Linked DNA regions of Coturnix japonica. The protein of the gene in region 1 interacts with the protein of each later gene in a pairwise test. Links are inferred from orthologs where the notes say so. Each region holds a gene or a part of one and is shown on either strand. Other genes may lie near its edges.

Evidence for each region.
Region 2: the proteins of ZMYND19 (region 1) and TNFAIP1 interact in binary tests that used the Homo sapiens proteins (3 or more experiments, as listed by UniProt). The two-hybrid records come from large-scale screens. The link is inferred for Coturnix japonica from reciprocal best matches to the Homo sapiens genes ZMYND19 and TNFAIP1.

The regions. Positions count from the first base shown.
Region 1 is NC_029532.1:877,199-882,407, reverse strand, and holds the start of ZMYND19 (zinc finger MYND domain-containing protein 19), read right to left. Parts: upstream 3,226-5,209; 5' UTR 3,137-3,225; coding exon 3,086-3,136; intron 2,926-3,085; coding exon 2,866-2,925; intron 2,015-2,865; coding exon 1,908-2,014; intron 1-1,907. Other genes in the region: protein STPG3, read left to right, coding at 3,704-3,707, 3,797-3,876, 4,554-4,659. UniProt on the Homo sapiens protein: May be involved as a regulatory molecule in GPR24/MCH-R1 signaling.
Region 2 is NC_029534.1:8,043,573-8,048,741, forward strand, and holds the start of TNFAIP1 (BTB/POZ domain-containing adapter for CUL3-mediated RhoA degradation protein 2), read left to right. Parts: upstream 1-1,861; 5' UTR 1,862-1,964; exon of another isoform or gene 1,965-2,176; intron 2,177-2,199; exon of another isoform or gene 2,200-3,362; 5' UTR 3,363-3,558; intron 3,559-3,685; 5' UTR 3,686-3,844; coding exon 3,845-4,061; intron 4,062-5,169. Other genes in the region: IFT20 (intraflagellar transport protein 20 homolog), read right to left, coding at 548-629, 966-1,069, 1,567-1,652, 1,735-1,861. UniProt on the Homo sapiens protein: Substrate-specific adapter of a BCR (BTB-CUL3-RBX1) E3 ubiquitin-protein ligase complex involved in regulation of cytoskeleton structure.

The DNA.
Region 1 (5,209 bases):
GCACCAGCACCCATGTAATTATTAATGTTACAGCTTGAATGGAGCTAATATTGTTTTACTGTTTTAATATTAATAGTTTCTATTATATGTTCAAGTTTGGCACTGGCGTGAGTCAGTTTTTCATTTACTGAGTACGTCTCTTAAGCAACAGGACAGGGCTTTCACCACCAAACAGGCGAATATTTTTGACTAATTGTGAATAACAGACAGCCTGCAATGCCTGCATATTGACTAAGAGAAACTACTGCAACTTGCTTGAACCCAAAGTAGGAACAGCTGCATATTAACTCACGCCAGCCTGGATTTAGGGAAGAAACCAAGAAGAAGCATGGAAAAGAGTCTGCTGAAAGGGGCTGATGGAGCATCAGGTTTGTCCCTTTAGAGTGAGATTCTGAGGAAGGGGATGCACAGGACAGGTGGAACACCTGCACTCCGCTACATGCAGTAACTCAAGCTCTCTGCTTCTCCTTCATGCAGGAAATGCAGCTGTGATGGGTGCTGCCACCCATCTCCCTCACGGGGCCCCTGCAGCCCTGTCTGCTGTCCCAGAGCTCATGCGGGGGATGGTCCTTCAGCTCAACACACTGCAGGTTTGTTTTCAGAACAGCTGCAGCACAAGGAGAGCAGCACAGCGTGCTGATAGGAGGGTCAGCACTACGCAGCACCTGCAGCCAAGAGGCTTCTCAGAGATACAAGGAGGCTCAGGCAGCAAAGCGCACCGAGCTGCCTCGTGGTAGCGTGTAATTAAAGACCACAGCAAAACAGACGCCTTCAGAGGGACCAAACCAACTTTAGAGAACAGCTGAAATGCTCAGTGCTTCCCAAAGAACCTGACTGTATCTCCAGACCTGCAGGTTGGCTTGCAGGGCAGCTCACAGCTCGCCTCCAAAAATCCCCATCACTCAGAACCTCGGGGGTTTGACACCAGCTTCACTATGGTGAAGTCACACGATTTGAGTTACCCAACTGAGCATGTTACAGCTGTTTCCTAACAGAAGTCCAGCTAATGAGAGAGGCAATGACTGAGCTGTACGCAAAGCCCTGCACACGCTGGAGCAAGGCAAGCACTGCAGGCTCTGCTGTGAGCTGCACAGTGAGCAGGGGCTGACAGCCCCACTCACACCACACAGTGCAGCCAAATTCTGACTCATTTCCAAAGTTGTGTACTGTCAGATTAAACAATAACAGAGCAGGTTAAAATCCATATTTAATGAGCAGATTTAAAATAAGAGTAATTGTGCCTGGCGTTTTTCCTGCCTCTCTCATCCAGGGACTGAGCTGGGGGAGAACAAGTAACCTCAAGCAATGAAGAAAGTACAGGGAGATCTTGGGTGCTCTTTCATTACAGTTTATGGGACTGAACAGAAAGCATGTTTAATTCTTCAGAAAAGGCTTTTAAAAATAAATAATGGTTCTCTTCAACATAGCCCAGCTTTCCTATAAACCCATGAAGAACACATTTACAAAGTGCCTCTGACAACCAGTTGCTGGGCTCTGAGTCCTAATGGCAGCTACAAAGAACTTCAGGCAAAGCTCCCTGCCACAAGGGGAGCAGACACAGCAGTGTAGGAAGCAGCAGCACCCTTCAGGATCCAGAAAGACGAGCAAAGTCCCCTAAGTTGTGGGCTATCAGCTGCTCTATCCACAGTCTGTCACTTCTCACCTACCTGCTCATCTCAGGACAGAAGAAGCCCCAAGTGAAGATTCAGTCGCATTTCCCAGATTGAAGCAACACAATACTCACCTGTAACCACCCTCCCTAGAAATAACATTATTGGAGCATCAGCTATCTCAGGGCACGGTGCAAAACAGAGCCAGGCCAGGGCATTGCAGCACTGCTCTGGGCTCTGAATGAGGCCCCAAATGCTGTGTGCAGTAACAGCCCCGGGCCCTATTGTGATACCCACCAGAGCAGCTCGTGCAGCAGGCGGCCGGATCCCCTTCCACGGTTTTTGTCAAAAGCGTAAGCAAATATTTTAGCACCATTTCCATCAGCATCCACCTCCATGCGAGCCTGGAGAGAAGGGGAAGAGCGTGAGATCAACTGGTGCTGAGCAGCAGAGAGTGAGCTGCAGTGGGACAGCGGTAGGGACAGGCAGCACCTCCCACGTGTCCACAGGACACTGAATTGCCGTGGAATTGTGCTTGTTTCAGATCTCCAGCAAGAACGAACCTCTACTGCTACGGCTCCATGGGATGGTTGTGCTGACATGGACCCCAAACCCCCCCAGCTCAGGCTGCCCAGGGCCCATCCACAGCTTTGAGCACCTCAGGACGGGCACCCACCGCTCTGGGCAGCGCTGCGGGGCCTCACCGCCCTCTGAGGAAAGGATTTCCCCCCAGATCAGACCCGGATCTCCTCTCCCCCCGCCCCACGATGGAGGTGCTGGACCCCCCCACAGCTCCCCCCCTCTCCTGGCCGGACGCAGCGCCGCACGTGGGGCCTCACTATTGTCACTATGGCCGCGCGGAGGAAACGCGGCGGCGCTCAGCACAGCTCGGAGCTCAGCACAGCGCTCAGCACAGCGCTCAGCACAGCGCTCAGCACAGCGCTCAGCACAGCGCTCAGCACAGCCCGGCAGCGCTCGGCCTTCCCAGCCCCGGGGGCGCGGGCGGCACCAGCAGAGCTCGGGGCGGGACGGATCCGCTCCCACGTGCGGAGGGAACCTCGCAACTTTCCCACTCCGACAGGGGGAGCGCCGGGAAACGGGCCGGCAGCGCTGGGACGGGAACGGGCGGCGGGGACGGAGCGGCGGGTCGGGGCTGCGGGGCTGCCCGGCGGGTCGGGGGCTGCGGGGCCGGGGCGGATGCTGGGGCGGGGAGCGGATCCCTCGGGGTCGGTTCCCGGGGCGGCGCGGGGCTCACCTCGAAGGAGAAGCTCTCCACCAGCGGGATGTCCTGCTCGTCGATCAGCGTGTACTTGGTCTGTAACACAGCACCGCGCTCAGCCGCCGCCCCGCGCTCCGCCCGGCCCAGCTCCGTGCGGCCGAGCCCGGCCCGACGCTCCCGGCCGCGCCCCCCCCTCGGTCCGTCCGTCCTCCCGCCGCGTCCCCCCGTCTCCCATCCCCATCCCATCCCCCCGCACCTTCCCGGCCACGCGGCCGAGCCGCACGATGCCCAGCTTGAAGTCCGTCATGGCCGGGCCGCGCCAACTCGGAGCCGCGCGCGGGAGCCGCTGCCACGCGCCGCCGCCAGGCGCACACCGGGGGGGGGCGGGGCGGCGCGCCACCTCCCAGCGCCACACACACACAGCGACCAATGGCGGGGCGGGAAATGCGCGCGTCGATCTCACGACGACGCCGGAGCGGCCAATGGGAGAGCGGCGCGAAGCGGGGTCACGTGGGAAAGGAGGGCGGGAGGAGCTGGATGGGGGCGCGCGCGGGCGCGGGTTCGGGAGCGGGAGGAGGCGGCGCGCGCGGTGACGTCACTTTCGCGGGAAGCTTTGTGCCGCCTGAACGGAGGGAGGGGCGGGGCCGGGGGGGTAACGGGGGTAAATGGGCCGGGAGCGGGGCGATGCGTTATGGGTATAGCGATAAATAGAGCGAAACTTGGAGGCTGGGGGGCACAGCGAAGCCCCGAAGGCCTGACAGCGGCCTGGACACAAAGCGGGGGCTGTGCGCGGGAACCGGAGCGAACGGGCAGCACCGAAAGGCCGGGGCTGCTGCATCCAAACTAGTGACCGGATCCGGGCAGAAGAGGAAACATGGGTAAAATATGGGGGATGTGGGGAAATAAATGGGGCCGTGGGCAGCGCTCACAGGGCTCAATACGGCTCCTCCCGTCTGTCCTCGTACAGATGCATCGCGCCGCAGTGGGAAGAACTGTCCGAGCTCGGGGCCGGCCAGCAGGAGAGTGAAGGTGGAACATGGATTTAATGTAGGTTCTTACTGTGTCCGTCCCTGCGCCTCCTGCCTCGGGAGTTTGGGTGGGATGAAATGAACCATTGGCAGAGCAGGGGCTCTGCTAAGGCTGAGGTTAGCGAGCACCTTAAAGCTCTTTAAACTAAAGGTGCTTCTGAAAGAGGCACCGCTCTGCCGAACTGCCCTCCCCATCAGTGATGATCATTGCAAACCTCAGCTGGAATGGAGCCAGCCTGGACAATGGTGTTTCCCCAGGTCCCCCCAACACAGCAGTGTCCCCATCGCAGCCTGGGGCCACTTGGAGATGTTCTTTCTTACACAAAGCCAGAATCTGTTGCAAGTTGTGTTCTTGGAGAGGTGAGGAATGTGCTGAATCCAAAGCAGAGCTCACTTGGAGAGCACCAAAGCCTCCTTGCTTGGAGCCTCCAAGTCAAAGAGTTAAAAATAAGTGTCTGGGATGTTGCTCTTTTGCTTTATTCCCTGGTCCCCCCCAGAGAAAGGCCCTACAAACAGCTGGAGGAACAAAGGGCAGCAGAAAGCAGGAGAGCTCCTGCAGCTGCTGATGAGGCTGCATGAGATCTTACAGACTGATAGTCGGGGCTGGGATGTGTGGTACAGCTATAGGCTGATGTATAGGCTGTTTGAAGGAATAGAAGGTAATTTTGTGTTATGCCTTTCTCCATTTCACTGCAGCCCTTGTGCAGCCTGTGCTGCCCTCAGCCTGACGGAGCCATGTACCCACCCTACATCAGAGAGCAGCGGACAAACCTGGATGTTCTCAGGAACCGTAAACCTATCGGTCAGCACAACCCCCCCCACCCAGCCCAGCCTTCATCCAGGGACCCTGGCAACCCCTTGTTGCAGCTGCACATCCCACTCCTGCCCATGAGCCCAATGTGAAGTTATCGCACTGCTGCTCAATGAGCATCTCAGGTGGAAGATGTCCACCTTTGGGAAGCTCTGTCCTTCTCCCCACTGGGCAGAGCAGCACAGAGCAGAGCAGGCACAAGGCCTTATCTCAGCAGCCTGTTGTCCAGTCATGTGCAAACAGGTGATTTCTCCTGATCTCCATGCTAACATTATGTACATTTTATGCTTCACAAGCTGTACGAGATGCATTCCTAGTGCATGACTGCTGTGCACTCAGGCAGCGTAGCCCAAAGCCACACTTCAGGCTTAAGCAGAATCTTGGGAGGAATTTCATTCCCACTCCCTTCAGAAAAATAGCTGTGCACTGAGAAGGCTCCTCCCCACCCCAGGATGCTGGTGGGGCCGAAGTGAACTGTGCTCATAACACCACTGTTAGCAGGGCTCAGCAGCACCCAAGTCAGTTAAAGCATTCAGATCAC
Region 2 (5,169 bases), on another chromosome or scaffold:
ATCACCAATTTTTCTGACCAGTTTAGGAATTCCCAGGCAGGAGTTACCAACCACTGCTTCTCTCTTTTGCACGTTATGCTGCTAGGAGTGTTAAAATGGCTATATGAGGGAAGTCCTTCATGATGACGATCCAGGGAGTCACAAACTTACGAGCTCCCCAGTAACAAAGCAGAAGAAGCTAATTCTGGTATGTCCAAGTAGGTGACAAACAAAAGTTTATTGCCTGATTTCATTGAAAGAGCTGTACATTTCAAAAAGGGAGAGAGACATTAACAGAGGAACAGCAGTATTAATTCAACTACAGATTGAATCTGAACTACTGACTGTATAAAACCTTTATAAAAATCAAAGGACAGAACAGTCTTACAGCTGTTAGAAAGCCCTCCTTATTGCCACTTGTAGTGTAACTCACACTGCATTAAAAAACACTTTTATTTGCACAAACCATCCTTATTTATTTGCACACAGTGAAAAATTGCATATTTCTGAAATAGTCAAAGAGTCTGGAATGCTCGTGTTTCCAAGCTGGTCTTTATCTTAAAGTCTTCTATTTCTGAAAAATAAATTGGTCAATGAATTCATTCTGATCCGCTTCAATTTTACACAGACTCTCATATTCTATTCGATATCTGAAAGACAAAGAAAATAGGTTACCAGCTGATATTTTAGTGCAGTGCTCACCAGTCTGAGAGCGAAGCTCAGGGCTTCGTGTGTGTCCTTTTTAAGGCAACAGTCACATGAATTAGACTTGACAGTTCTAAAAAGCCTTTAGAAGTCACCTGCCTGCCACTCTTACTGTTTTATTAATTTCCACAGTTGTATGATCTCACATCACCTCTATCCGGATAGCCACAAAGCCATTAGAAATGATCCTTCTCAGTACGTGGCTGTTTCTCTCACATCTACACAGCTTTCTTTCCCAACTATTACGTCCATGCCCCAAAAACACTTAATAGGAAGCTCACCTTTCCAGCTGCATCTTTTTCTCAGCTATTAAAGCCCGCAGCTGCTGTTCCTGTGCTTCCCTTTGCTTTGCTATAGACTTCAGCAGATTCCGTGCACCGATGGCCTGTCAAAACAGACGTTTGTGATGGATCTGTACAAGGAGTTTTAACCCCTTTCACTACCAGCAGGTCGCGATGAAAGTCTTTCAGCCGTGCTAAGAGCAAAGGGGGCATCGTCCTGCTGGATGGGCTGTGGAGCAAACACAGTCCCTGTAGGGGCTGGGCGGGTTGAGGCATCTGAGGCTTCCTTCCAACCTGGGATATTCCTAACAGTGTGAAATAAACTGACCCCCTGGTGGCTGCTACCAACAGGAGGCTCAGGAGTTTCTCCCACAGAACAAACAAGGGAAAAGTAATCACAGCTGTGCTGAAAATTCATCTCCAACCCCATAATAAAGTGAGAAGATAAAGAGCGCTTGGTGACGTGTATTAGTGCACGTTTCTGAGGTAGTTACAGAGGTTTTTACTGCGTGAATCGTTGGACAGCCCTGTCCTCAGAGCCCACCATGAGCTGCGTCCTGCCAGGAGGTGTGACTACAAGGACAGCCCCAACGGACCGTACCTTCATCTTCTCGCTCTCGACAGCTCTGGCCAACTGGTCCATGAGCTCGATCAGGCCGCCCACCGTGCTCTGGAATTGCGCTATTTCTGAAAGAAAAACGGTCCCGCGTTCGTGGCTGTCAGCGCTGCGCGGAGTGAAGCGGCGCCCCCCGCCCCGCCCCGCACTCACTGTCCACGAAGGCCTTGCACTCCTCGCGGAGCTGCGCCGTTTGCTGCGCCACGTCGGGGTCGAGGACGCGCAGCTTGTTGAGCTCGTCGAAGTGCAGCCCCGCCGCGCCCAGCGCCTCCTGCGCCATCCCGGCACCGCTCGGATACACGGAGCCACAGGAAGCGCTGCAGGGTGCGGCGCAGCGCGCAGGAAGTGACGGGCTGCAGCGGGGGGGACGGCGGCCACGGGCGGTGAGCGGACTGTAGGGCCGGGCGGTGAGCGGACTGTAGGGCCGGGCGGTTCGGTGACGTGGGGCCGCGCGGGCGGGGCTGCGGACGCGGAACTTCGGTGTGGCCGCCGCGTTCGGGCCGGGGACGTTGCGGAGGCCACGGACGCGCCGCCCGACGGCCCCGCGACACCCGGTCGGCGCTGCCCGGACAGGCCGGAGCGGCCCGCGCAGCCGGTACGGGGCAGGGGAAGAGCGGGGCGGGGCGGAGCGCGTGTCCGGGCCCCGCCGGTTCAGCTCGGGGCGCAGTTGTCGCTTTGTCCTGTTGCTTTCTCTGCTTTGTGCGTCTTTTTTCCTTTGTCTCTTCTCGTTTTCTCCCCTCGCGCCGTTAGTCCCGCTCCTTTTCGTGGCCGTGCTGAACAGGGGCCGCTTCCTGACGGCGGTGCCGTTGTTGTGCTGCGCTCCGGCCGGAAGGGAAACGGGGCAACATTTATGCGTGTGTTAATGTGGGTAATTAAAGGTTCAGTCTGTGTTTATCGCAGGAGCCTCCTACGTGATCGATGATCAGGGACCTCAGTGACGTTTTGTCTCCCCGGACACGCTGTGCAGCGGGTTCTCATTTTGCTTTTTGGTTGTTTTTTTGCTTCGTCCTTCTTGGTCAGAAACGTAGCGACGTGCCGGAGGTGCGGCAACTACAGAAACCTTCACTAGTGCACGTGTTCAGAGATGCCGCTGCTGAGACTGGAAAGCTTCGTGCACACCCAGAGCTCGTTACGGACTCTGGCTGTCCTTAAAAACACGCTTTTATTTTGGAGGAAGGGCTCCTGTGGTCTGAAGCAGGATGGGACACCGAGGGCAAACCTGCAGCCCTGAGCCATGGTGCTGTTTTCTCTGGAGGTTGTAGGTGTAGGACAGTGCGCTGCTGCTGCTGCTTCTGGTTTACTTCGGTGTATGACAATATAACCTAGAGTTGACAAAAAGTAACTTTGTTGCTGGCAACATGGATTTCTCTGGAGCTGCTTTATTTGTGCAATTAACTTCTTACAGAACACAACTGTAATAAGCAGCTGCTAGTTGCTGTTGCTGGGTTACTGGTGGGGAATTGCTCCTCTGAGCAATATTGTGCTGGCTTTTAACTGAGACAAATACTCCAAAGACCAGACATTTTTTAGGCGTACCCATCCTGAAACAATAATAATAGAAACTACATGACATCGACTGTTGGTTTTTCTAGGAGTGAAGGGGGGAAAAGAAGTAGAATAAAAGGAGTTTCGAGGAAATAGAATGTAATGTTCCAGCACTGCAGTATCAAGTCGTTTGAAGAAGTTGGAGCTGCTATAAGAATATCACGTTAAAATATTTTTTATGTAATCGCCAGATGAAAGAATTGGACAAAGCTCTTCCATTTGTTTCCCTCCTGCAGGCAGAAAAGTTATTTCGGGAAGTTGAACGGGATCTGAATCCCATCTAGCACTTAACCTTGGGCTGCAGTGTTGTGTGTTGATTGTAATGCTGGCTGAAGACTGAATAACAGGAAGCCCAGAGGAGTTCAGCTTGCCTCACTAACAGTAATGAAGTCGTAATATGACTGTGATGTTAAACAGCTTCTGTATTGCTGTGTAAGTTGTTTGAAAATACACCTGCATTTTGTTTTGTCAGCACATTTGTAGGTGTGTCCTTAAGAATGTACTGAATTTGTCTCTTCGTTGTGGGCTTCATGGCTTTGTTTCTTTGTGTAAATTCTAGGCTTCTGTGTTGATCTTAAACATTTCCATTCCAAGAGTCTGGTGGCTATGACCATTTTTGCCTTCCCATCTTCGCCCAGTGACTCGTGACTCGTTGCCAATCACGGCGGAATCCATCAAACCCACACTCTGCAGGGTCGTCATCTACCTACAGAAGGAGATGTCGGGGGACACGTGTCTAACCACCACCCTGTGTCCAGCTGTGGGCCCCAAGCCTAAAACCTGCAGCTTCAAAGTCGGCAGCCTCGGTAACAAGTACGTGCGACTAAATGTCGGGGGCTCCTTGTATTACACTACAGTGCAAGTCCTGACCAGGCATGACACGATGTTGAAGGCCATGTTCAGTGGCAGAATGGAAGTTCTCACAGATAAGGAAGGTAAGTAAATGTCTTTTGTTGTTGAGAATCTTGTAAAACAACTATTGGAGTATTTTTTTGTTTGTTTTTAATGCATATTAAAGCTATGCTCAATGAAGGGTGTGGAGAAAGCTGTATTCCAAAAGGAGCCAGGAACATCAGGCTGCCAGATCCCATTGGCTCTACCTGTGCTTTATATAAATTGTCCTTTTGTTATTAAAATTAACAAGCAGAAGGGCTGGTTCTCTTTCCTGCAGTCACAGGTGGTAGGCAGATCGTTGATGTTTTTATGAAGACTGGACAGTATGTGGGCTGTCATATCTACAGTGCATTAATCAAAATGTCTTTAGGGAGGGGAGAGTCAGTTTTCAGCTTTAAAACTCAACACAGCCTTGATTGCTGTGTTGAAGATTTTCAGATAGGCTGAATCTTGTTGAGTGTCACGTAAGGCTGAATCTGTTTGGCCCAGCAGTTCTGTGTAAGAGCCCCAATCTACCAGAATGGAGGATGAGATTTGTCTTCAGGCAGCTTTAGCTGGAGAATCTGGCAGTGGTTTAACCCTCTTTCCTATGTTACCTTATATGTCTAGATCCTAAAATATAAAGAACTTTGGGTTTTTTTTTTTGGTTTTTTTTTTTTTTTGGTCTGCCTTCCACTTCATGAACAATGATTGGGCACTTTATTAAGCCCTCTGTCTGTGTGTGTCCTTTGCTATTGTTTGCCAGCAAGTCAGACATCCTGTTTCCCAGTGAATGTGACTGCAGGGAAGTTTCAGCATCACAAAAACTGTCTACTGCTGTTTCCTGTGCTGGATCCCCCCGTTCCTCGTCTTCCTGATCCATCCTTGTCCTGTTCCTTCCTCCTGTTTGGATACTGGAGCAGCATTTTTCCCTCACTGGATTTGTCAATTAAATAGATGTGCACTGGTGACTTCCTGTAGTAATTAGAAAGGTTTATGCCTTTAATTGGAACAAAATACAAAAAGGATGAAGCACAGAAAATAACTTTGGTACAATGGCTGATCAATAGATACGGTGCAGTCAAGTTCTTGCTGCAGTTTTTTAAATGTCAAGTGATAGGAAGCTCATGGCTTCTCTTCTGAGGTGCTGGAAAGTAGTGAGAATACAGA